Arabidopsis thaliana: one gene and its partners. The protein of the gene in region 4 purifies or fractionates together with the protein of the main gene of each other region. This does not show direct contact. Each region holds a gene or a part of one and is shown on either strand. Other genes may lie near its edges. The genes, in order: IMPA-8, BTF3, AT1G32880 and ECIP1.

Evidence for each region.
Region 1: the proteins of ECIP1 (region 4) and IMPA-8 fractionate together in Arabidopsis thaliana (co-fractionation; one large-scale study listed by BioGRID). This does not show direct contact.
Region 2: the proteins of ECIP1 (region 4) and BTF3 fractionate together in Arabidopsis thaliana (co-fractionation; one large-scale study listed by BioGRID). This does not show direct contact.
Region 3: the proteins of ECIP1 (region 4) and AT1G32880 fractionate together in Arabidopsis thaliana (co-fractionation; one large-scale study listed by BioGRID). This does not show direct contact.

What each region holds. Positions count from the first base shown.
Region 1 is NC_003076.8:21,117,619-21,123,348, reverse strand, and holds IMPA-8 (importin alpha), read left to right. Parts: upstream 1-2,229; coding exon 2,230-2,247; intron 2,248-2,331; coding exon 2,332-2,431; intron 2,432-2,524; coding exon 2,525-2,607; intron 2,608-2,681; coding exon 2,682-2,804; intron 2,805-2,882; coding exon 2,883-3,059; intron 3,060-3,134; coding exon 3,135-3,298; intron 3,299-3,381; coding exon 3,382-3,460; intron 3,461-3,558; coding exon 3,559-3,687; intron 3,688-3,784; coding exon 3,785-3,912; intron 3,913-4,000; coding exon 4,001-4,325; 3' UTR 4,326-4,403; downstream 4,404-5,730. Other genes in the region: AT5G52010 (C2H2-like zinc finger protein), read left to right, coding at 533-1,723; CBF4 (C-repeat-binding factor 4), read left to right, coding at 5,562-5,730.
Region 2 is NC_003070.9:6,150,689-6,155,536, reverse strand, and holds BTF3 (basic transcription factor 3), read left to right. Parts: upstream 1-1,554; 5' UTR 1,555-1,671; intron 1,672-2,111; coding exon 2,112-2,179; intron 2,180-2,268; coding exon 2,269-2,417; intron 2,418-2,506; coding exon 2,507-2,563; intron 2,564-2,656; coding exon 2,657-2,695; intron 2,696-2,780; coding exon 2,781-2,965; 3' UTR 2,966-3,153; downstream 3,154-4,848. Other genes in the region: GER2 (NAD(P)-binding Rossmann-fold superfamily protein), read left to right, coding at 95-1,059; EGY3 (ethylene-dependent gravitropism-deficient and yellow-green-like 3), read left to right, coding at 3,352-3,897, 3,991-4,188, 4,283-4,507, 4,591-4,829.
Region 3 is NC_003070.9:11,912,801-11,916,943, forward strand, and holds AT1G32880 (ARM repeat superfamily protein), read right to left. Parts: upstream 1,936-4,143; coding exon 1,810-1,935; intron 1,652-1,809; coding exon 1,524-1,651; intron 1,426-1,523; coding exon 1,128-1,425; downstream 1-1,127. Other genes in the region: NAC13 (NAC domain protein 13), read left to right, coding at 1-363, 483-892.
Region 4 is NC_003075.7:12,779,349-12,786,095, reverse strand, and holds ECIP1 (MA3 domain-containing protein), read right to left. Parts: upstream 4,335-6,747; 5' UTR 4,183-4,334; exon of another isoform or gene 4,099-4,182; 5' UTR 3,786-4,098; exon of another isoform or gene 3,648-3,785; 5' UTR 3,634-3,647; coding exon 3,429-3,633; intron 3,273-3,428; coding exon 3,178-3,272; intron 3,003-3,177; coding exon 1,194-3,002; 3' UTR 899-1,193; downstream 1-898. Other genes in the region: AT4G24805 (S-adenosyl-L-methionine-dependent methyltransferases superfamily protein), read right to left, coding at 38-781; AT4G24790 (AAA-type ATPase family protein), read right to left, coding at 4,751-4,828, 4,924-4,975, 5,069-5,495, 5,583-5,777, 5,877-6,053, 6,144-6,363, 6,450-6,747. UniProt on the Arabidopsis thaliana protein: Involved in target of rapamycin (TOR)-regulated translation control, especially under energy-deficient conditions. Involved in the regulation of the ethylene-mediated signaling pathway. Involved in salt stress responses.

The DNA of each region.
Region 1 (5,730 bases), on a different chromosome or scaffold from region 4:
ATTCATGTCATGACAACCTTTTGTGCATAAAGATACCTCAAAAGCTTTTTTACCAGTTTCGTGTCCTTATATTTTTTTTTGCATACCTCACATTTTATATGGTTTTAATCACTCATCTTTTTATATATTCTCACCCATCCTTATAATTTCAAATTGAAATACCATCATGTCCAATATATTCTCACCCATCCTTATGCATTGTGTCTCATGTGTCTTTAGCATATTTCATATCCCTGGATCAACTTGAGTTAGTGAAACAGTTAGAAAGTAAAAAACAAAGGTAAAGTCTCTCTCGTCAAGACCCTCCGAGTGTACAAGAGGCTCTCAAACAACAAAAGCAAAAGGATAAACTTTTGTTAGCTCAGACTATCCACATAGCCGTCGTCTTCCTCGCCGGACATGCTAGAAGATAACAATCCACACCCAAACTTACCCAGAGAGACAATCTCTGATTCACGTCCACTACAATTACCGAATCTCTCCGAAGCCACCGATCACCTACGCTAGTTTCAGTGGCAATTCGAAGCTTCCAATGAGTTTGTTCTGTAATTCAATCGAAACCCTTTATCCAAAACCATTCCTTTCACACAAATCTCACTTCTTTACCTTCTCCAATTCCAAATTCCAAAACCCTAAATTCACAAGCTTCCCACTTCGTCACCAATGGCGGATCGAATCATGTCTGAAATCAGCATCTTCATCAGAAATCGATATGGTAAGAAACAAAGAAGGTATCTTTGCACCAAAGGAGAAGAAAGTTGTAGTCTTATGGGACTTAGACAACAAACCACCACGAGGTCCACCATACGAAGCCGCAACAGCTCTCCGTAAAGTCGCTGAGAAACTCGGCCGAGTCGTCGAAATCTCCGCTTACGCAAATCGTCATGCTTTTATCCATTTACCTCATTGGGTCGTCGAAGAGAGACGAGAAAGGAGGAACCTTGATTTCATGGAGAGGAAAGGAGAAGTGACTCCAATTGATCCGTACATTTGTGGTGTTTGTGGTCGCAAGTGTAAAACCAATCTTGATTTGAAGAAACATTTCAAGCAGCTTCATGAGAGGGAGAGACAGAAGAAAGTTAATAGGATGAGATCTTTGAAAGGTAAGAAACGTCAGAAGTTTAAGGAGCGTTATGTTTCAGGGAATGAGAAGTATAATGAGGCTGCGAGGAGTTTGTTGACTCCTAAAGTTGGATATGGTTTAGAGGCTGAGCTACGTCGAGCAGGGGTTTATGTTAAGACGGTTGAGGATAAGCCTCAGGCTGCGGATTGGGCGGTTAAGAGACAGATACAACATTCAATGACTAGAGGGATTGATTGGTTGGTTTTGGTGTCGGATGATAAGGATTTTTCTGATATGTTGAGGAAAGCTAGAGAGGCTGATCTTGGGACTTTGGTTGTTAGTGATATGGATAGAGCATTGGGAAGGCATGCTGATTTGTGGGTGCCTTGGAGTGGTGTTGAGAAGGGAGAGATTGGTGAGAAGGATTTGATTCCGGGGAAGAGACCAAGGTTTGAGGAGGATGAGGTGGGATTTGGTGGTAATGATGAGTTGTTTTCGTTGTCGTATGATGAGGATGAGAAGGCGGAGATGACGGTGGAGAGTGATGGGTTTGGGAGGTTTAATGTATCGGCGTTTTCGGAAGATGAATGGGTGGAGGATGAAGGAGACTTTGTGTTGAGTGATAGTAGTGATGATGATAGTGATGATGAGCTTTTCTGATTCATGGTGAATTGAGTTGCATTTCTAAGTGTTGTTAATTGGTTTACGAATAGAGTTCATAGGAGCTTTGGTCGATGTAATTGAAATCAAATGTAAAACCATTCTTACATAAGCCAAGATTTTGTGCATTCATGTGGTCAAAGGCTTTGAGAATTCAAGTTCTTACATAAACCAAGATTTTGTGGTATTGTGGTTTGTCGAATTGAAATTTTGGGTTGGAGTAAACCGGATTCAAATCAAATTTTTATTTTGATCGGTTTAGAGTAGACGGTTAAGTAGCGACTGGATTTTTTGATCAGACGGTTAAAATAAAATCAAGAAAGAAACGATAACTGAAAAACCCGTTTTTTTACGCTTCGTTAAAATTCTGCTTCACCATTTTTGTTTGCATTCTTGCTTGATTGCAAAATCTTTGCCTCTCTCACATTTCAAGTTGAGATTTCTAGGGTTTAGTCTTTAAGTTTTCTAAATTGCTTTGGAGAGGTCGAAAAGAAGAGAGAAAAGCCATGGCTTGGAAAACAGAGGTCCGTTTAAAACTATCTCACAAGTAATCACTCTCTGGTTGATTTTGTGTTGGACTAGTGAGGTTTTTAGGGTTTGGATTGTAGGTGAACGAAGTTTCAGATGATATAATCGATGGTCTTTGGTCAGATGATCCTCCATTACAACTTGAATCCGTTACCAAGATCAGACGTATTACATCACAGAGTAAAAACTTCCTCTGTTTTTTACTTTCTTTACTTTTTCTTGATCTCGGTTTGAAAGATTCGTCTTTTATCATTTACTCTAATATCTTTCCAGGAGATATATCTTGTGTGATACGATCTGGAGTTGTACCGCGTCTCGTTCAGTTGCTTAAAAATCAAGTTTTCCCCAAGCTTCAAGTTAGTTGATATTTTATGATGATGATCAGTGTAACCTTTGATTACGATATATTCAGTGATCTTTGTTTTTATAGTATGAGGTAGCTTGGGCTCTAACAAACATTGCTGTTGACAATCCGGGCGTGGTAGTTAATAACAACGCTGTTCCAGTATTAATTCAGCTTATTGCTTCTCCTAAAGATTATGTTCGTGAGCAGGTAAGTATTTTACTACGTGTAGATATGAGAATACTTGTCACAGACTCACAGATATGAGTTTTGACATTATTCTTGCAGGCTATATGGACACTGAGTAATGTTGCTGGTCATTCGATACATTACCGTGACTTTGTTCTTAACTCTGGGGTATTGATGCCACTGTTGCGTCTTCTGTATAAGGATACTACACTCAGAATTGCTACTTGGGCTTTGCGTAACTTGTGTCGTGGCAAGCCTCACCCGGCTTTCGATCAGGTCTTCTTACTTCTCTCTCTGTCTCTGTTTCCTCTGTTTTGTATACTTTTTAACATATGAAGCATGATTCAACAGGTGAAACCTGCTCTTCCTGCGCTTGAAATACTTCTTCATTCACATGATGAAGATGTCTTGAAAAATGCTTGCATGGCACTATGTCATCTGTCTGAGGGTTCAGAAGATGGAATCCAAAGTGTGATTGAGGCTGGTTTTGTCCCAAAACTAGTTCAAATTCTCCAGTTAGTACTTCTCAGAATATGTATTTAACCCTTTTGTGACATGTTTGGATAAGGAAAGGCTGACAGTTTTTTTTCTTTTGCAGACTCCCTTCTCCAGTGGTGCTTGTTCCTGCACTTCTTACCATTGGGGCTATGACTGCTGGAAATCATCAGCAGACACAGGTATGTATTTCATATTCAACTTACGTTGTCCACCTTTTGGATTTTGTAACCAAACAACAAAATGCTTTGTTATACACCTCTTTGAACTTATTCTTCAGTGTGTGATCAATAGTGGTGCTTTACCCATTATTTCCAACATGCTTACTCGAAACCACGAGAACAAAATAAAGAAGTGTGCTTGCTGGGTGATTTCAAACATCACTGCAGGGACTAAAGAACAAATTCAGGTGAGAAACTTTTGTTGCTATTATCCCCAATGAAAATTTACCATTTTTGTCTTTTGCTATCACTAATTTGTTTTTCTTTTTCCCCTGGTGATTACAGTCAGTTATTGATGCAAATTTGATTCCAATCTTGGTCAATCTTGCTCAAGATACTGACTTCTACATGAAGAAAGAAGCTGTATGGGCAATTTCAAATATGGCCTTAAATGGTTCTCATGATCAAATCAAGTAACGTCCCTGTCTTGTTTCTTTTTTCAACTTTAATGTACTTATTATAGATCATCAAGTCTCACAATTCTCCATTGGTGTGATTCAGATACATGGCGGAGCAGAGTTGCATAAAACAATTATGTGATATCCTAGTATATTCAGATGAAAGAACCACCATCTTAAAGTGTCTGGATGGATTGGAAAACATGTTGAAGGCCGGAGAGGCTGAAAAGAACAGTGAAGACGTGAACCCTTATTGTCTACTGATTGAAGATGCGGAAGGGCTAGAAAAGATTTCGAAGCTGCAAATGAACAAAAACGATGATATCTACGAGAAGGCTTATAAGATTCTGGTGACGAATTGGTTTGAAGAGGATGATGAGAACAACAACAACAACGTCCGATGTGATGATGTGGACTTTCAGGTGTGAGAGAACCAAAGTTCCAGTTCCTTATATGGAAGATCCCAACACAATTATTTGTTATAGTGAAAAAAAAACATCTTACATGGGACCAAAGGCTTTGCACCTTTGTTGTCTCAGGGCTTTACTTGGTCTTTAATTGAATGTACAAAGTTGATGTAAAAGCTTTGGCTCCATCGTTCATGGAGTCTAGTACATTGTTTTGGGTTTTAAAAGTTTTCTGTGTTAAAGCTCGTCGTCTAATTGATGTTGTGTTTGGTTTTAGTTGAAAGGTTTAGACGTTTAGTAAAAAAGTTACTCAAATTCTTGAAATCTCCTTGGCCTTGCTGATTATAAAATCAAATATTCATTTATAAAATTATGCGAAAGGGTCTAATTATTTTTGAAACCGAATCGAATGAAGACAACTCCATTTTGATTGATTTTTTTTTTGTTGTATTAAAGAATAAAAAACTCGACTGGTTCAACAAGACTGGATTGTCTTTAAACTACTGGTTCAATGTATTTTGGGTACATAATGAAAAAAATACACAATCCGCCTTGGCCACGTATCCATCTTTGGCTTAGTTGATGATGATAATACTTTTGTTTTTTGGTAAGGCTGATGATGATAATAGTTAGAAGAAGTTCATAGAATAATCCAATGGATTTCCAATAATAAAACACAGAAATAAATATAATCCAAACAATTGCCAAAAATAATGAATAAGAAAAGGGACCCACACCAAAAGCTAAAAGCGCGTGGGTCAGATTACAAAAAGCGAAACCCCAAACCGTGGCTAGACAGCGGACGAACCCGTCCCTTCAAACGTGGCTCACCTTTCGAACCACAGAGAGCAGTTTACACTCCAACTGTCAAAAACGTGTTCCCATGACGTCATCCTCAACGTATCTTTATCACTTTTTAAAACTAAAGACTGTTTTGTCTTTTTCTAAATCGTCCCCTTTCTCCGAACACCATACTTAAATTCAATAAAATAATAAATATCAAAACTGAACCATCGAATCGGAACCAGCCACAGTACACAATACACTTAGACGAAGTAAAGTGATTCAGAAGGACACGTGTAAGTCACATACCGTGGGACACTTGTCGTTACCAGATCCTCCGTGTTTCTCACTTTTCTTATAAAATAAAAACACAACACTTCTTCACTTTCTGTAATAAAAATATCTCCAAAAGTTCCAACACCTGAAAACATAAAAAGATAGAAAGAGAAATAAAACATCTTATCCAAAGAAAAAATGAATCCATTTTACTCTACATTCCCAGACTCGTTTCTCTCAATCTCCGATCATAGATCTCCGGTTTCAGACAGTAGTGAGTGTTCACCAAAGTTAGCTTCAAGTTGTCCAAAGAAACGAGCTGGGAGGAAGAAGTTTCGTGAGACACGTCATCCGATTTACAGAGGAG
Region 2 (4,848 bases), on a different chromosome or scaffold from region 4:
TTCATGTCTATATACGGAGTTTTGTGGAATTGAATTTAGATTTTCGTGGAAATTTTGGAACCCTAGGTCTTTGATCCCTCGTAATTCTGTGCAGAGATGAAATCAGGTTCGTTTATGTTAGAGAAATCCGCCAAGATCTTTGTCGCTGGACATAGGGGATTGGTTGGATCTGCCATTGTCCGCAAGCTCCAGGATCAGGGTTTCACCAATTTGGTCCTTCGAACCCATTCAGAGCTTGATCTCACTAGCCAATCAGATGTTGAATCTTTCTTTGCTACAGAGAAACCAGTTTATGTCATCCTAGCTGCTGCTAAAGTCGGTGGGATTCATGCTAACAACACATACCCAGCTGATTTCATTGGGGTCAATCTCCAAATCCAGACCAATGTGATCCACTCTGCTTATACACACGGTGTGAAGAAACTCCTCTTCCTTGGTTCATCTTGCATTTACCCCAAATTTGCTCCTCAGCCGATTCCCGAATCTGCGCTTCTTACCGGTCCGCTCGAACCGACAAACGAATGGTATGCGATCGCCAAGATCGCGGGTATTAAGATGTGTCAAGCTTACCGGCTTCAGCATCAGTGGGATGCTATCTCCGGTATGCCCACGAATCTGTATGGTCAGAATGATAATTTCCACCCGGAGAATTCCCATGTGCTGCCTGCTCTCATGAGGAGGTTTCATGAAGCCAAAGCCAATAATGCTGACGAAGTTGTGGTTTGGGGAAGTGGAAGCCCGTTGAGGGAGTTTTTACATGTCGATGATTTGGCTGATGCTTGTGTTTTCTTGATGGATCAGTACAGCGGATTTGAGCATGTGAATGTAGGAAGTGGTGTTGAAGTGACGATCAAAGAATTGGCTGAGTTGGTGAAAGAAGTTGTTGGGTTTAAAGGAAAGCTTGTTTGGGATACCACAAAACCAGACGGGACACCAAGGAAACTGATGGATAGCTCGAAGCTTGCGTCTTTGGGATGGACACCGAAGATTTCGCTTAAAGATGGCCTCTCCCAAACTTATGAATGGTATTTGGAAAATGTTGTGCAGAAGAAGCAGTAAAAAAAACAAGGTCCAAAACACAAAGCAATATTCATTCTCTTTACACGTGAATGTTTATGCGTTTGATTTTTGGTTCTATACAGATCTCTCTATCTCTTTTATGTAATTTTTGTATTCATGGATTTCATACAGTTCAAGTTAAGCAAACTTACTTTGTAATAAATGTACCATTGTTGTTGAGATTATCAATAATCGAATAGCTTTCTTCTCTAAATTTTAGTCAACTAAACAAGTCTGTTCATTGATAAACTCATTTAGATAAATTTGTGGATTTTGAAATTCTGGTAACCAAAAGATTATGGTTTGCTACGCGCTAATACTGGTGATTGATTACGGCACAAAAGAGCCCAGTAAATAATTATTGGCCCAGTTTAGTTTTGGGCCTTATGGGCCAATATTATCATCGAGCATCCAACGGTAGTGATGGAGATTTCTTTATGGAATATCTGATATCCACCGTTAGATTAAGAGACGAGGTTGGCTCCGAATAGCATATAGTTAAAGGGCAAAACCCTGCGCCGCCCGCGTCTCTCCTCTCTCTGTTTCTTTTCTTTTTGTTTCATTTTCTTATCTCCTCACACTCTTCGAACAAGGAAGAACCCTAATCTCAAGGTAAATTCATTATCACTGTAATTTTCCTTTCTATTAGTGTTTTATCTCTCCGGTTCTAGGGTTTCTCTAATCCCCGATTTTGCAAAATGTCAGATATCTTTCTTTCTTGATTCATTTCGCTTCTTTCTGTAGATAGGATTAGTTTTTGTCGGTGTTTGGGAATTTACTGGGTTTTCAACTTCTCTGTGTGTTTGATTGGGGGATTTGGTATACCTAATCGATTGAAAATGATTAAATTTAGGTTAAAACTACTAGTCACATCACCGTGTCTTCATACGCATCTGAGTTTAAATCTGTTCGCGCTTACTTTCTTCTCACTAGTTTCTTGTATAATAAGAAGTTTTTGTGAATGTATTATTAGCAGTTAATGTGTTCATTGATTCTTTTGGAAGTGATTTGGGGATTGATGGATTTTGCTTCTTATTATGGTTTATACACAGATGAATAGGGAGAAGTTGATGAAGATGGCTAATACCGTCCGCACTGGCGGAAAGGGTACTGTCAGAAGGTATAGAGTTTTATTCAACCAATTTCATTGTTCAATACTTAGCATTTACTATGATTTGTGTTATGAAACCATTCGATTTTTACTTGCAGAAAGAAGAAGGCTGTGCACAAGACCAATACAACTGATGACAAGAGGCTTCAAAGCACTCTTAAGAGAATTGGAGTTAACTCCATTCCCGCTATTGAAGAAGTTAACATCTTTAAGGATGATGTTGTTATTCAGTTCATCAACCCTAAGGGTAAGTCATTTTTAACCATTTTTTATCTATACATCAGAACCTTTTTTTCATGTTACTGATCATTGTTCCTCCTTTGAATGTTACTACAGTTCAAGCTTCAATTGCTGCAAACACATGGGTTGTTAGCGGTTCTCCTCAGACCAAAAGTATTGCATCTCATAATATCTCTTAATCTCTACTTTCTTGTTTCTTCTTCATTTCATCTTCTCTGATTAATGTAAACGTGTTGCTTCCTGCAGAATTGCAAGATATCCTTCCTCAGATCATCAGCCAACTTGGTGTGTACCATGTAACTGTACAGCTCTTAAATGTTCTTCATCGATCCTAAGGTCTCTAACTTTATGTTACTTTGATCTCTTTCAGGACCAGACAACATGGACAACCTGAAGAAGCTAGCAGAACAGTTCCAGAAACAGGCTTCTGGTGAAGGTAATGCCGCCTCAGCAACCATACAAGAAGAGGATGATGACGATGTCCCAGAGCTTGTTGGAGAGACATTCGAAACTGCTGCTGAAGAGAAAGCACCAGCTGCTGCTGCTTCTTCTTAGAGAGAAAAGAGCGAGACCACATCCAAAAAAAAACCGCACTTTGATTTTTACATATCTTTATAATATGTTTGTTCGCTCGATCCTTTTTGTAGTTTCCGACCAGAATCTTGTTTTCCATCTAATGACTTAAGGTTTTTATCCAATTATTTGATGTCTTATTGATTCTTTGACAGCAAATCAGGTCCTCGTCTTCTTCTTCCTCTTCACTATGTGGATTAGAAGATTTTGATGTGACACATTGTCTTGTTGCATAAAAACCATTCCACCTGTACTGTATGAGTTTCTTCTCAAACTTTCCAGACATTTCATCACTTTCTCTACAAATTCTCTCTCAGAGACATGTCTATTCGTCGTCAAATCTCAATCTTTCTGAGTTTTCGTAAACCATGGCTTCTCTCTTTGTTTCTACTCCATCATCTTCCTTAACTCTTAAATCCTGTCACAGTTTGCATCTTCGTCGCTTTGACAGAGCAGAATTTTCGAACTTTGGGAAAGCTTCTGTGAATCAGACAACGAGAAGCAGACATTCTTTGAGATGTTCAGCGGAAGATGATCGCGTTCGTGAACCTGTGAACGAAGCTCCTTCTCCGGTGGCGTTAGCGGAGGAGCAAAAAGAAGACCACGATAACAATAATGCGCCGCCTTCTCCAGAGAGCAGTGAAGAAGAGGAGGAAAAGAAGTCGAAGCAGCAAGAGATGGATTGGAAAACAGACGAGGAGTTCAAGAAGTTTATGGGGAATCCATCTATCGAAGCTGCGATAAAGCTTGAGAAGACGAGAACTGATCGTAAGCTCAAGGAGCTGAACAAGGAAAGCAACAGTGAGAATCCGATCATTGGAATTTACAACAGCTTGGCTCGTGATAGTTTGACTAAAGAGAAAGAAAGGCTTGAGAAAGCAGAAGAGACTTTCAAGGCTCTTGATCTCAACAAGGTAAAAAAATGAATTCATTTCTCTTATGCTATGATTCTTCTTTGTTTTGTTGGAATGCATTGTTTTTGAAAGTGGTTTGTGATGATGGGACAGTTGAAGAGCTGTTTTGGGTTCGATACATTTTTCGCTACGGATGTTCGCCGGTTTGGAGATGGAGGAATCTTCATTGGGAACCTGAGAAAACCCATTGATGAAGTCACACCTAAGCTTGAAGCTAAGCTATCTGAAGCAGCTGGGCGTGATGTTGTTGTGTGGTTTATGGAAGAAAGGTCCAATGAGATCACAAAGCAGGTAGAAGAAAGCTTTGAAAACTCTTTAACTTTGATGTTCTTTGATCTCAGGATTTAAGCTAATTGTGAATTGTTTGTTATTTGTGCTTTTAAAGGTGTGTATGGTGCAGCCGAAGGCGGAAATTGATCTACAGTTTGAATCAACTAGATTAAGCACTCCTTGGGGATATGTTAGTGCAATTGCTTTATGTGTTACAACCTTTGGAACCATAGCTCTTATGAGTGGGTTTTTCCTGAAACCCGACGCCACTTTTGATGACTACATTGCTAATGTAGTTCCTCTTTTTGGCGGGTTCCTTTCCATCTTAGGTGTCTCAGAGGTAAGCCGAAGCAAATTAAAAGAACTAACTCCAGGTTCCTTTGCTGTATACATGTAACTAAACCTGTTAGTTCTTTGCTTCAGATAGCAACTAGAGTAACCGCTGCGCGACACGGTGTCAAATTAAGCCCGTCGTTTCTTGTGCCATCAAATTGGACTGGTTGCTTAGGAGTTATGAACAATTATGAGTCATTGCTTCCTAATAAAAAGGCGTTATTCGACATCCCAGTAGCCCGTACAGCTAGCGCGTACCTGACCTCGCTTCTGCTTGCAGCAGCTGCGTTTATATCTGATGGTAGTTTCAATGGAGGTGACAATGCTTTGTAAGTGCTTCATTAAATT
Region 3 (4,143 bases), on a different chromosome or scaffold from region 4:
AACCAACTTCTGTGGAAGTCATGGAGAATAACTGGAACGAGGATGGTTCTGGTCTCCTGAATGATGATGATTTCGTTGGTGCTGATTCATATTTCCTTGATTTGGGAGTGACAAATCCTCAGTTAGATTTTGTTAGTGGTGATTTGAAAAATGGGTTTGCACAAAGTCTTCAGGTGAATACTTCTTTAATGACTTACCAGGCCAATAATAACCAGTTCCAGCAGCAATCAGGGAAGAACCAAGCTAGTAACTGGCCACTCCGTAACAGCTATACCAGACAGATAAACAATGGATCATCGTGGGTGCAGGAGCTAAACAATGACGGACTTACCGTTACCCGGTTTGGTGAGGCGCCTGGTACAGGTACTTGAAAGCACTAACAGATTTTCCTGTAGATACCTCTTTTCACTCGCATACTAAATATTCTATCTAATTGTGAGGAAAGCGACTGGCTTCTTATCCTAATCATATTCCCTTGACAGGTGATTCATCTGAATTCCTAAACCCTGTTCCTTCTGGTATAAGTACAACTAATGAAGATGACCCGTCAAAAGACGAGTCTAGTAAGTTTGCTTCTAGTGTATGGACTTTCCTGGAATCCATTCCTGCAAAGCCAGCATATGCATCAGAGAATCCATTTGTGAAGCTGAACCTTGTTAGAATGTCAACCAGTGGTGGTCGTTTCAGGTTTACTTCTAAAAGCACAGGTAATAATGTTGTTGTTATGGATAGTGACTCAGCAGTGAAGAGGAACAAGTCTGGAGGAAACAACGATAAGAAGAAGAAGAAGAACAAAGGTTTCTTTTGCTTATCGATCATTGGGGCTTTATGTGCTTTGTTTTGGGTGATCATAGGAACAATGGGAGGTTCAGGGAGGCCTTTGTTATGGTGAGAACCGAAAAATCCAAGAGGTTAAGAGACATAAAGGCTTGGTTTTGTGTGAACCATTAGAGAGTCAAGTCATTGTAATTATTCTCTTGGATTATTAGATTCAGAAGCTGTTTAGTATCACAGTTTATGCTTGGAAGTTTTCTCTGGTATTGTTAAAAAAGTACCAATAGAAATAAGCAAAAGAATTTTCTTATCTTTTAGGATATTTGAACAAATGATGTTACTTAACTAGATTATTAACTTGGAGGTTGTTGTATATCCTCATCATCCTCTTCAAGCCAGTAAGTCTGCAGAATCTTCAAAGCCTTGTCGTAGATCTCGATGTTTTCGTGTCTTTGCAGGTTCAAAATCTTATCTAGCCCTTCCGCTTCGATCAGTCGAGTATACCAGCTCACGTCGTCTCCTGCGTTCTTTTCAGCCTCTCCAACCTTCAATGTGTTTTCCATTCCATCCAGACACTTTAAGATGGTTTTTACATCTGGACAAAACAGGATATCACATAAAGGTTTGATGCAGCTCTGCTCCACCATGTATCTGAATCACACCAATAAATGGAGATTGTGACTTTGATGATCATCTATAAGCATGTTAAGTTGAAAGTGCAAAAAGAAAGAAATAAGACAGGGACGTACTTGATTTGATCATGAGAACCAAGTAAGGTCGCATTTGAAATTGCGCATACAGATTCTTTCTTCATGTCAAATTCAGCATTCTGAGTCAGTTTGACCAAGGTTGGAATCAAATTTGCATCGATTACTGACTGTTATCACCAGGGGAAAACAGTTTAGTTTAGTGAGATAGCAAATAGACAAATTGTTTTATGTTGTGCACCTGAATCATTGTATATATATCAGAATCAAAGATTACACTGATCATCAATAAAAACATCAACTTGATGGGGGAAATTTTTCTTCTAACTTGAAGCTTAGGGAAACTTTCATCGAGAAGAAACTGAATGAGACGATGTACAGCTCCAGATCGTATCACTGTTTCGATAGGACCACGCATATCTTCTGCACATGTAATATAAGAAACATTACGCATATCTTCTGCACATGTAATATAAGAAACATTCGAGTGAATGAAGAATCTTTCAAATCGATCAAGAAAAAGAGTAAAAGAGAGATTTGATTTACTCTTCTTTTTTTTTTGAAAAAATGTTAAATTATATTCAAAAAAAAACAAAACGTTTTTACAACTCGTGCAACGTTTAGCAAAATGAGAAAAGCTGAGAAAAAAAATAGTTAGAAATTAAAGGTGTTTAGAGAATGTTTAGAGTGAGCTGTACGTTGCCCTTGTCATATCTTCGATCACCTGCTTATCTATCCAAGTTATCAAGTGTGACGTGGTGTTCGGTGTTTCTCCATGACGACGCCCATTCCTCTCTCTCCAAACTGTGTGTATTGTAGCTTGAAAGACATACCGGATTAAGAAACCATCGACTCGCTGTAATGACTTGTCTGAAACATAGGCCAGAATTTGTGGCCATTCCTTTGTGAATCTGGTCTTCCATAGCTTCTTAGCTACGTCACCCCAAATTGTCGAGACATAGTTGCAGGAGAAAAACAAATGATCACGAGTTTCCATAGTGTTAGTACAAAACACACAGAGACCCGATTCTCCTCTGTTCCATTTAACCATATGCTCCCCTGTTGAGAGCCTATCTTGGACCGCGAGCCAAGTACAAAACGAAAACTTTGGTGTGGCGTGATTGAACCAACCCCCGTTGTACCAGGGGACTGTGGGAGAAGGAGCTCTGATATGGTGCCACGTTTCTTTGGTAGAGAATGATGCATTGTACACATTATTTCGCCTTGTCTCTGTACTTTAGTATTTTTCTCCAAATCCAAGAGCCTGCATTTGTATTCTGCTTCAATGTCCAAAAATGCTTCCTCCTAAGAAGGTATGTGGTGACCCATTGAACCCATAAAGACTTGCTATTAGAAATGATTCGCCAGACCAACTTTAAACAACAAACATCATTAGCTTTTGTCAAGCTTCGCAAACCCAAACCCCCCTCTATTTTCGGCTTACAAACTTTTTCCCACGATATCTTTGCCTTCTTTGAACTCAGTTCTAAACCCGACCATAGGTAAGCGGAGCAAATCTTGTCAATCTCTCGGATACACTGTCTCGGTAAACGAAAAGCGCCTAGCCAGAAATTGCAAATACTCCAGAGGATAGATTGAATCAAGTTGAGCTACCTGCATATGAGAGGTAGCGTGAAGTCCACGACGCGATGCGTTTCCTAATCTGCTCAAGAAGAGGATCATAATCCTCAGCCATGAGTCTCTTAGTAACAAGAGGCAAACCTAAGTATCGAACTGGCAATTGACCTATATCAAAAGGGAAAAGAGCTGCAATCTCTGCTTTCACTAAAGGTGATACTCCTGCCATATACATTGTCGACTTCTCCATACTTATTTTTAACCCAGAGTACTTATAAAACTCATCAAAAACCTTCACTATACCCTATATGGATCTAACCTTACCATCCGTTAGAACCATCAAATCATCTGCAAAACTTAGATGAGTGAGCTTTAAACGTTGACAATGAGGATGGAAACCAAACTTGTGAGCTCCGGCAGCCTTATCCAACATCTTTGAGAGGACATCCATGCTTATGACAAACAGATATGGCGAGAGAGAGCAACCCTGACGTAAACCCCTTGCACTTTGGAAATAACCAGCGAGATCGCCATTTACTTGGACTGAAAAAGAGGCCGTAGTAATACACAGTTTTAACCAATGTATAAAAACCGCAGGAAAATTCATAGCCAATAAAACATTCAGCAGAAAAGCCAATTGGACCGAGTCAAACGCCTTCGAGATATCTATTTTAATAGCACAACGGGTAGAGACTTAATCTTTATAATAGTCCTTGACTAGTTCCGTAGCAAGTAACAGATTTTCGATGAGTAATCTGTCTTTTACAAACGCCGACTGATTTCCCGCAACAAACTCTGGCAGAAGCACTTTCAATCTGTTAGCAATGATCTTAGAAATTACCTTATAGATTACGTTGCAGCATGAAATAGGTCTATAATCCTTCATTTCCTTAGCTTCTAGCTTCTTTGGAATCAGAGCTAAAATAGTTGAGTTTATTCCTTTTGGAAGGAAACCTTTTAGAAAAAAAGATTGAACTGCCAAAATGAATTCAAGTCCTATGGTAGCCCATGTTGCCTTATAGAACTCTGTGGTATAACCATCTGGTCCCGGAGATTTGTCCTTCGGCATTGAAAACAGAACCCT
Region 4 (6,747 bases):
ATTAAAACAAAACTACATTTATGAATCTTGAAGTGTTTTAGTTCATGTTCTTTCTAAAAACAATCTCAGTGTCAAGCCCAAACCCATCGATCTTCCTCATCTCCACAACCTTGGATCTCTTAAACAATTTCACCAATGGTTTCACACTAAGCAAATCGTTAGCCGAGTACTTATCCGTCTTCCCAGATATCGACACGTGTAACACACACACCCCTCCGGGCTTTAAAGTCCGTTCGATCTCCCCAACGAACTTCTCCGGGTAAAGCGCGTGATCGAACACGTTTGAGAATTCGAAATCGAATGTCTCTTCGTCGAACGGCTGCGCGTGGAAGTCACCTTTCACCACGAGAGGTGGTCGCGGAACCAGATCTATTCCGACGGAGTCTTCCACGCCGATCAATCTCAACGCCGCAACCTCTTGTCCAACCCGAGCACCGATCGAGAGAGCTTTTGATTGATTTGAGAGAAGACCGCGATCGCTGAGACGTCGGAAGAAAGTGGAGAACACACGAACTTTCCTGTCCCAGTCGCGCGTTGTCCATACCTTACGTAGCTTCGGGTTCTGAGTTTTGTTGAGCTGGTGTTTGATGTATGCTTCGTAGGAGGAGTATCCATGGTGACGGATCCGTATTCCTTCGTCGGCAACGGAGGTGACGGAGGAAGAGGAGGAGAGAGGACGGCGGAGGAATGTGGTGGGGAAGGCGAAGAGGAAGATGATGAGAAAAGAGAGGGAGAGGAAGAGAGAGAGTGTGAAGGGTAGTTTTGGTATTACGAATTTCATGTTAGCTTCGAGACTTCCCTTCCTTGTTGTCTCTGTGTGTACATCGAAGCATATATGGGAATTTATTTAATTAAAGAAATGATTAAAGTTTGGATCATAATTAGAAAAACACCAAATGCAAATAATATAGTTTGTTTTGTCTAATTGTCATCAAGGCATTATTATTGACTCTGAATTGAAACTTGATCCAATATAGCCCCAAAGTTCCGTTGGACTAAATTCAGAGCAATAAAAAGGTCCTCTGAAGAAAAAAGTTAAACATTCGTGAAAAGATAAGCTCCCTGGGCAGAATTCTCAAAGCCTAAAAGTGCAAAACAAAACAACCACAGGGATGCTCAAGAGAGAAAGAGACTTGTACATTCTATCAGTTTTTTTTAGTTCACACACCATTTGGGATATCTCCTCTTGATCTCTAGCCTACATTAGCATCTTCAGTTAGGGAAGTTAAAAACGACGACGAAACCCAACCATTCTTCTTCCCATACTCCACGTAGTCGTTGAATTTCTCCTTTGCGTTTGGGATGTCTAAAGCAAGATCTTCAAGTCCGTCTTTGACTCTTGTGAACCCTTTGGTCATCTGGTTTGTGGTTATGAGTCCTTCACTGAAACTCTCCTGCAGAAGATCCAGCATCATCTTGTCCTTCTTCTTCTCCATACCCATCACCAGTGCTTTCTTCACCACCTCATGGTTGAAGAAAGGCATGCCTAGCTCATGGATGCATTTGCATGCTTCTGATACCAGCCCTGAGCTTTCGTATTCCTCCAGGAGATTTGATATCTTGTCCTTTGCATCTTCCACTGCCCAACCGCTCCCACCTCCCCAGCATCTTAGAAGCCTCTCTCCTGCATGTCGAGCAAAGATGAGTGACCTAGCCATCTTCACGGTTTCAGTTCCGCTTGAGTTAGGGCGTAGTTTGCTACTGATCTCTTCCAGGTTAAAAGGTGCTAAAACATCATCGATCACAGCTCTAGCTAAGAACAGAGCAAGTTCGTTGGACGCATCCAGAATGTCAAGAGCTGTATCTTCTGCAGACTCCAGGAGCATGACGAAACCATCTGCAACATCTTCTGTGGTGAACATCTCGATGTGAAGAGATGAGAGAAGAACAGATGCCATTTCTTTCTCGTGATTCTTCCTGTCCAAAGCAAGTGTTATCAGCTTCTTTAGAAAAATTGGGTTGTACTCGGGTGCTCCTAAATCCTCAAGACTGCGTATGAGTTCTGGTATGTCATCAGAGTTGAAATACTCATGAATGATGGTCACAATGTCTTCCTTGAACCGCTTTAGTTTCTCATCCTCGTTCTGTTGTCGTCCACATTCACCAGAGGGATAACCAAACGAAGCATCAAGCCAACCACCTGAGACAGCTTTTGGCACAATCAAACCAAATTTGGTTCTAGCTGAAGGAATGTCAAGAGCAAGATCATCAAGGCTTTCTCTTAATCTTGAAAATCCCTTCACCATTTGACTAGAGCTTATCAGGTTTTCTGAAGCTGCTTCATTTAGCAGTTTCAATACAGGTGCTTCTGCTGCGTGGTTTTCCAAGGCAGTAACTAAGGCCCTCTTCACAACCTCATGGTGAAAGAAAGAAACACCCAACTCTCTTACGCAACGACATGCCTCATAAGTCTCTCCAGTCTCCACATATTCATTCAAAATGTCAGCAATCTTCTTCTTGACTTCCTCAACAGTGGTTCGAGTCTGTCCACCCCACCTTCTTTCTACTAGCTCAGCATGGTGTGCAGCTGATAGATAGCTTTTCTCTGCAGTTTGGACAACCTGGTAACCTTTAGAAGTTATTGGAAGTGCCTTGGCAGCCCTAGGAAGAAAAGCTGGAGGAAGTATGTCATCCACGACAGCACGTGCAAGGAACAAAGCAAGAACATTGACAGCATCAGGTATATCCACCACAAAGTCATCGGCTGACTCGAGCAGCAGGACAAATCCATCTCTTATCTGGTTCGGGTTAATGACATCAGCATACAATGCGGAAAGCAAAACCGAGGCCATTTCCTTCTCTTTGTCATGCCTGTCCATCGCTACCGAGACAAGCCGCTTGATGAAGTAGGGATGATATTCACTTGAACCAAGTTCAATGAGGTCAGCTGCTGCCACATCAACATCACCGGTGCTGAAGTATTCGTTAATGATGGAAGCTGCAGCTTTCTTGTAATCATCTAATGGGTCTGACAGAGTTGCACCAACAAGCTCGAATGGTTCCTATAAAACAAAAAAAAACACAAAGAGAGCTGAGACTGATGATCTCTAAAAAGTAACACACAATGGATAAATTTTCTACATCATCTGAACAGCAGATGGACAACAGAAACAGTTTTGTGCAAGTACTTTGGCAAGAAAATAATCAACCATCTAGTACGAAAGGTGCAGAAACTACCTCTCCACTGTCATAATTAGGATCATTCGGGTCAATGTGATAGTCTCCATCAGTGTCAATAAGTTTTCCCCAATTTCCTTTCCCACCACCTCCATCTGAAACAAAATTTATCAATCACCGCTACCCGAAGAACAAAGGAAGTATAAATATGCAATCTACACAATTTTCAGCTCCAAATTTGACTAAGAGCCATCCCTTGACACTTGATGGTTTAGAAACCCAAATCTAAACTGATAAAGGTAGTAACTGACCCTTCTTAGAGCGAATAGACCTTCCCGCATGAGACCTTCTGTGCTTCACAGCATTTGACGCACCAGAAGCTTTCCCACCACCAGATGGTTTAGGCAGATGCTCAAGTAAAACCGAGTGAGGTTTTTGTGAGGGTGGAAGATCATCTGCAGTCTGAGTTGCAACTTTCATCATCTCTCTCTGCTGATCCGTTAGGAAACCCTCCATCCTTGGCAATTACCCTAACAGTGAAACATCATCAAATCATTCCTTTAACAAACACATACCATACAATAAATATCAACCTAAAACCAAAACAGCATATAGCTAAAACCACAAGACACTGATGTGAAACGACATAAATGGAGATCTAAAATCACCAATCCATAATACAGAAGCCTATGCATCCCAAGGTTTCATCAAATTCTTCTACGTGTCATTCTTCACATATTTCTACAGCAATCAATCAATTAATCATTCCCGTGACTAAATGCCAAAACCAAAACATCGGAGAAATGTTTGAAACTCCAAGTACCAGTAACTGTTAATGTTCAAATCGCCTCGTCGTCAGCCAAACTATCCACAAAGCAGACCGTCGTACGGAAAAAGAGCAGGCGAGATCCGTGGTAAGAAGAAAGAGGACGGAGGCTAGATCGAAAAGAAGAACCCGAGTCTGAAGCTGCGTAAGCTATCCTGGAAAATAGTAGTAATGTTTGAGAGAAGATTGTTTGGAGAAGAAGATGGATTTGGGAATTTTGGGAGGAACAAAAAGCTTACAGAAATGGAGGCTGCTGATTCTCATCAAAGGTCTCATCATAAGGACTGTTGCCACGTGTTACTGTCTCAACGGTCACGATTGCTCGTTACATGTGCTGGCCTGTCCAAGAGAGATATCGATTAGGGTTATGGATTTAATTTTGGAGTTTTCCTACCAAAATAGTGAAACCAGATAATTTATAAATATCTCTCTGTCAATATCTTATCCCAAATTACTAAAACCTTATCCAAATTATGTTTCTAATTTCAAATCAGTTTATTGAAAAAATTAAACATTATCCACTTTTTGTAACAAAAAAGTTGAAGACTAATGTATTCACTTTATTCTGATTCGTTTTAATGAATGAGATAATTTGTGAAAACATAATGAGCTCAGTCAATAAAAGGGTCCAAAGACAGTAAAATTCAGGTCTGTTAAAGGAGTGATTAGTATATGCTAATCTAAAATATGGTCTTGAAACACATTTTGCAACTATACATTTTTGTGTCACATTGTCCTAAACAATGGGTTTGCTAAAACCTATTGGTTCCACTTCCACAAAATGGGTATTACCCTCATCGAGCTCCCTTAATTAGCTGCAGTGCTGCAGGGAAGGACTCGGCCGATAAGCCGTGAGCTCTTGCTGTTCTGTGTCTCGCTCTGACCCTATAAGACATGTATCATCATCACAAATTAGAAACACCAAAAAGGTACAGACAGAGATCTGAAACCGAATTCTTAGGCATAGTCGAGATGTTTACCTTGCCTAGGGGAGTCTTCTTCCAACACAACACATCAGTGTCATCTTCTGGCCTGCACAAAGTCAGAGGCAGAGTATACTTGAGTAGCTAGCCAAATCACAAAACAACTTACTTTTGAAATGAATAAATATGAACCATGTTTTACCTTTTTTCACCCGGAGGAATGTGTGGAGTACACATAGCAGAAGTTGCATCGCCTTGATCACTGGAACAGCTCATACGCGATGATGCATTGGCTGAAGAACGAACACTTCGAGCCCTCAAGACATTTCCTTGGCAACTTCTCAGAGAATTTGTAACTGCAGGCTTTTCAGATGCGCAGTCAGAGTCGGTTCTTGTAGTCAAATACGACTTGTGAAGCATTCTACGAGAACAACTGAAAAGTCCAAAGAAAAGACTTGCTGCTGCTTTAGCACTCTTTGGTGGAGAACACGCAGAGATAACAAGATTCATTTGGATCTCAACGTTGCATCCTAACACAGATTGGAACGAGTCTGCAATCAATTTCCATGATTTCTCGGCTCTTGCTACATGTTGAGGTGTGTAGAATTCTAACTCAGCTATTGCCACACCTGAAAAGAAAAAAGAATATGCATTTACTTATCTGAGACACAAGCCAAAGTAAAACTTTCAGACCATCTTTGGGAAATATAAGTTACCTTTGTCAACAGTAAGTGAAGTCAACCTTCCTCGTTTCCACAGAAATCTCTTTAGTGAATCAGAACAACACAAATCTGTAACCGTTTTCCACACAGATTCAACTGTTTCATTACAGTTTCTCTCTTGACCCTTCTCGGCATCTGATTTAATAACATCACCAGGACAACCTGATGATGTGCTGGAGAGCTCAACGTCTAGATACATGACCAAGGGTAAGTTATATATAGTTAGTAACCAAGACAACACGAAAAAGAAGCATGAAATAAAGGAAACGAGAATTTATGAATTAGGACCTTTGTTTATTTGGTTTCTTCCATTTTCATCTGTTGCAAAAGATGATGAGTCGGTGTTACTAAGTTGCAAAAGTGCCACAGTGAGCCAAGTTGTCTGGTTTTTCGATGCTCTCAAGTGTTTCTCAGCATCAGATAGTATCTTCAATGCATTTCTCAATTTCTGCATTTCTTCTTCAGCTATATATAGTAGAACAGTATATGATAAAGAGTGAGATCAGGTTTTAATTTGAAGCTGATATTCAAAGTAATCATCACTGGGGTGCTTACATGTATGCCTTGTAAGAAACCGAAGTCTGGTTGCTGAACTACTTTCTTGAGAGTTTCCAGCAATGATGTCCATAATGACATTAGCTAGCTGTGAAATAAGCTGCATTGGATCTATTTTGGATCTCATAAGTTCCCTCGCCCTTATAACCGTGTTTGAAGTATCAGAAGACATGGCAAGATCAAGCAGATCAAGCAATTCATCATCAGAAACAACCCCAATCTGCAGAATCAAAGAAATGTTGATCTTTCACTTCTAAACTATCTAATGTTTCCAAGACAAATATGAAGAAAGAAGTGTAAACTTACAAGCTTGTAGGCCAAAGATGTTGTTATTCTTTTACCGAGCAAACTTAACTGATCAAGCATTATCTCAGCATCCCGAAGTGAACCATCAGATTTAGAAGCAATGAAATCAACTGCCCCTTGATCAAAATCAATGCCTTCTTCAATACAAATCTTAGCCAGCTTAGTTGATATATCCGCATCACATACTTTAGAGAAATGATATTTCTGAGACCGTGAGAGAACGTTACGCGGTAACTTCTCTAGCTCTGATGTAACCAGTATAAAAACCGAATGCTGAGAGAAATTGTCCAAACTGTTC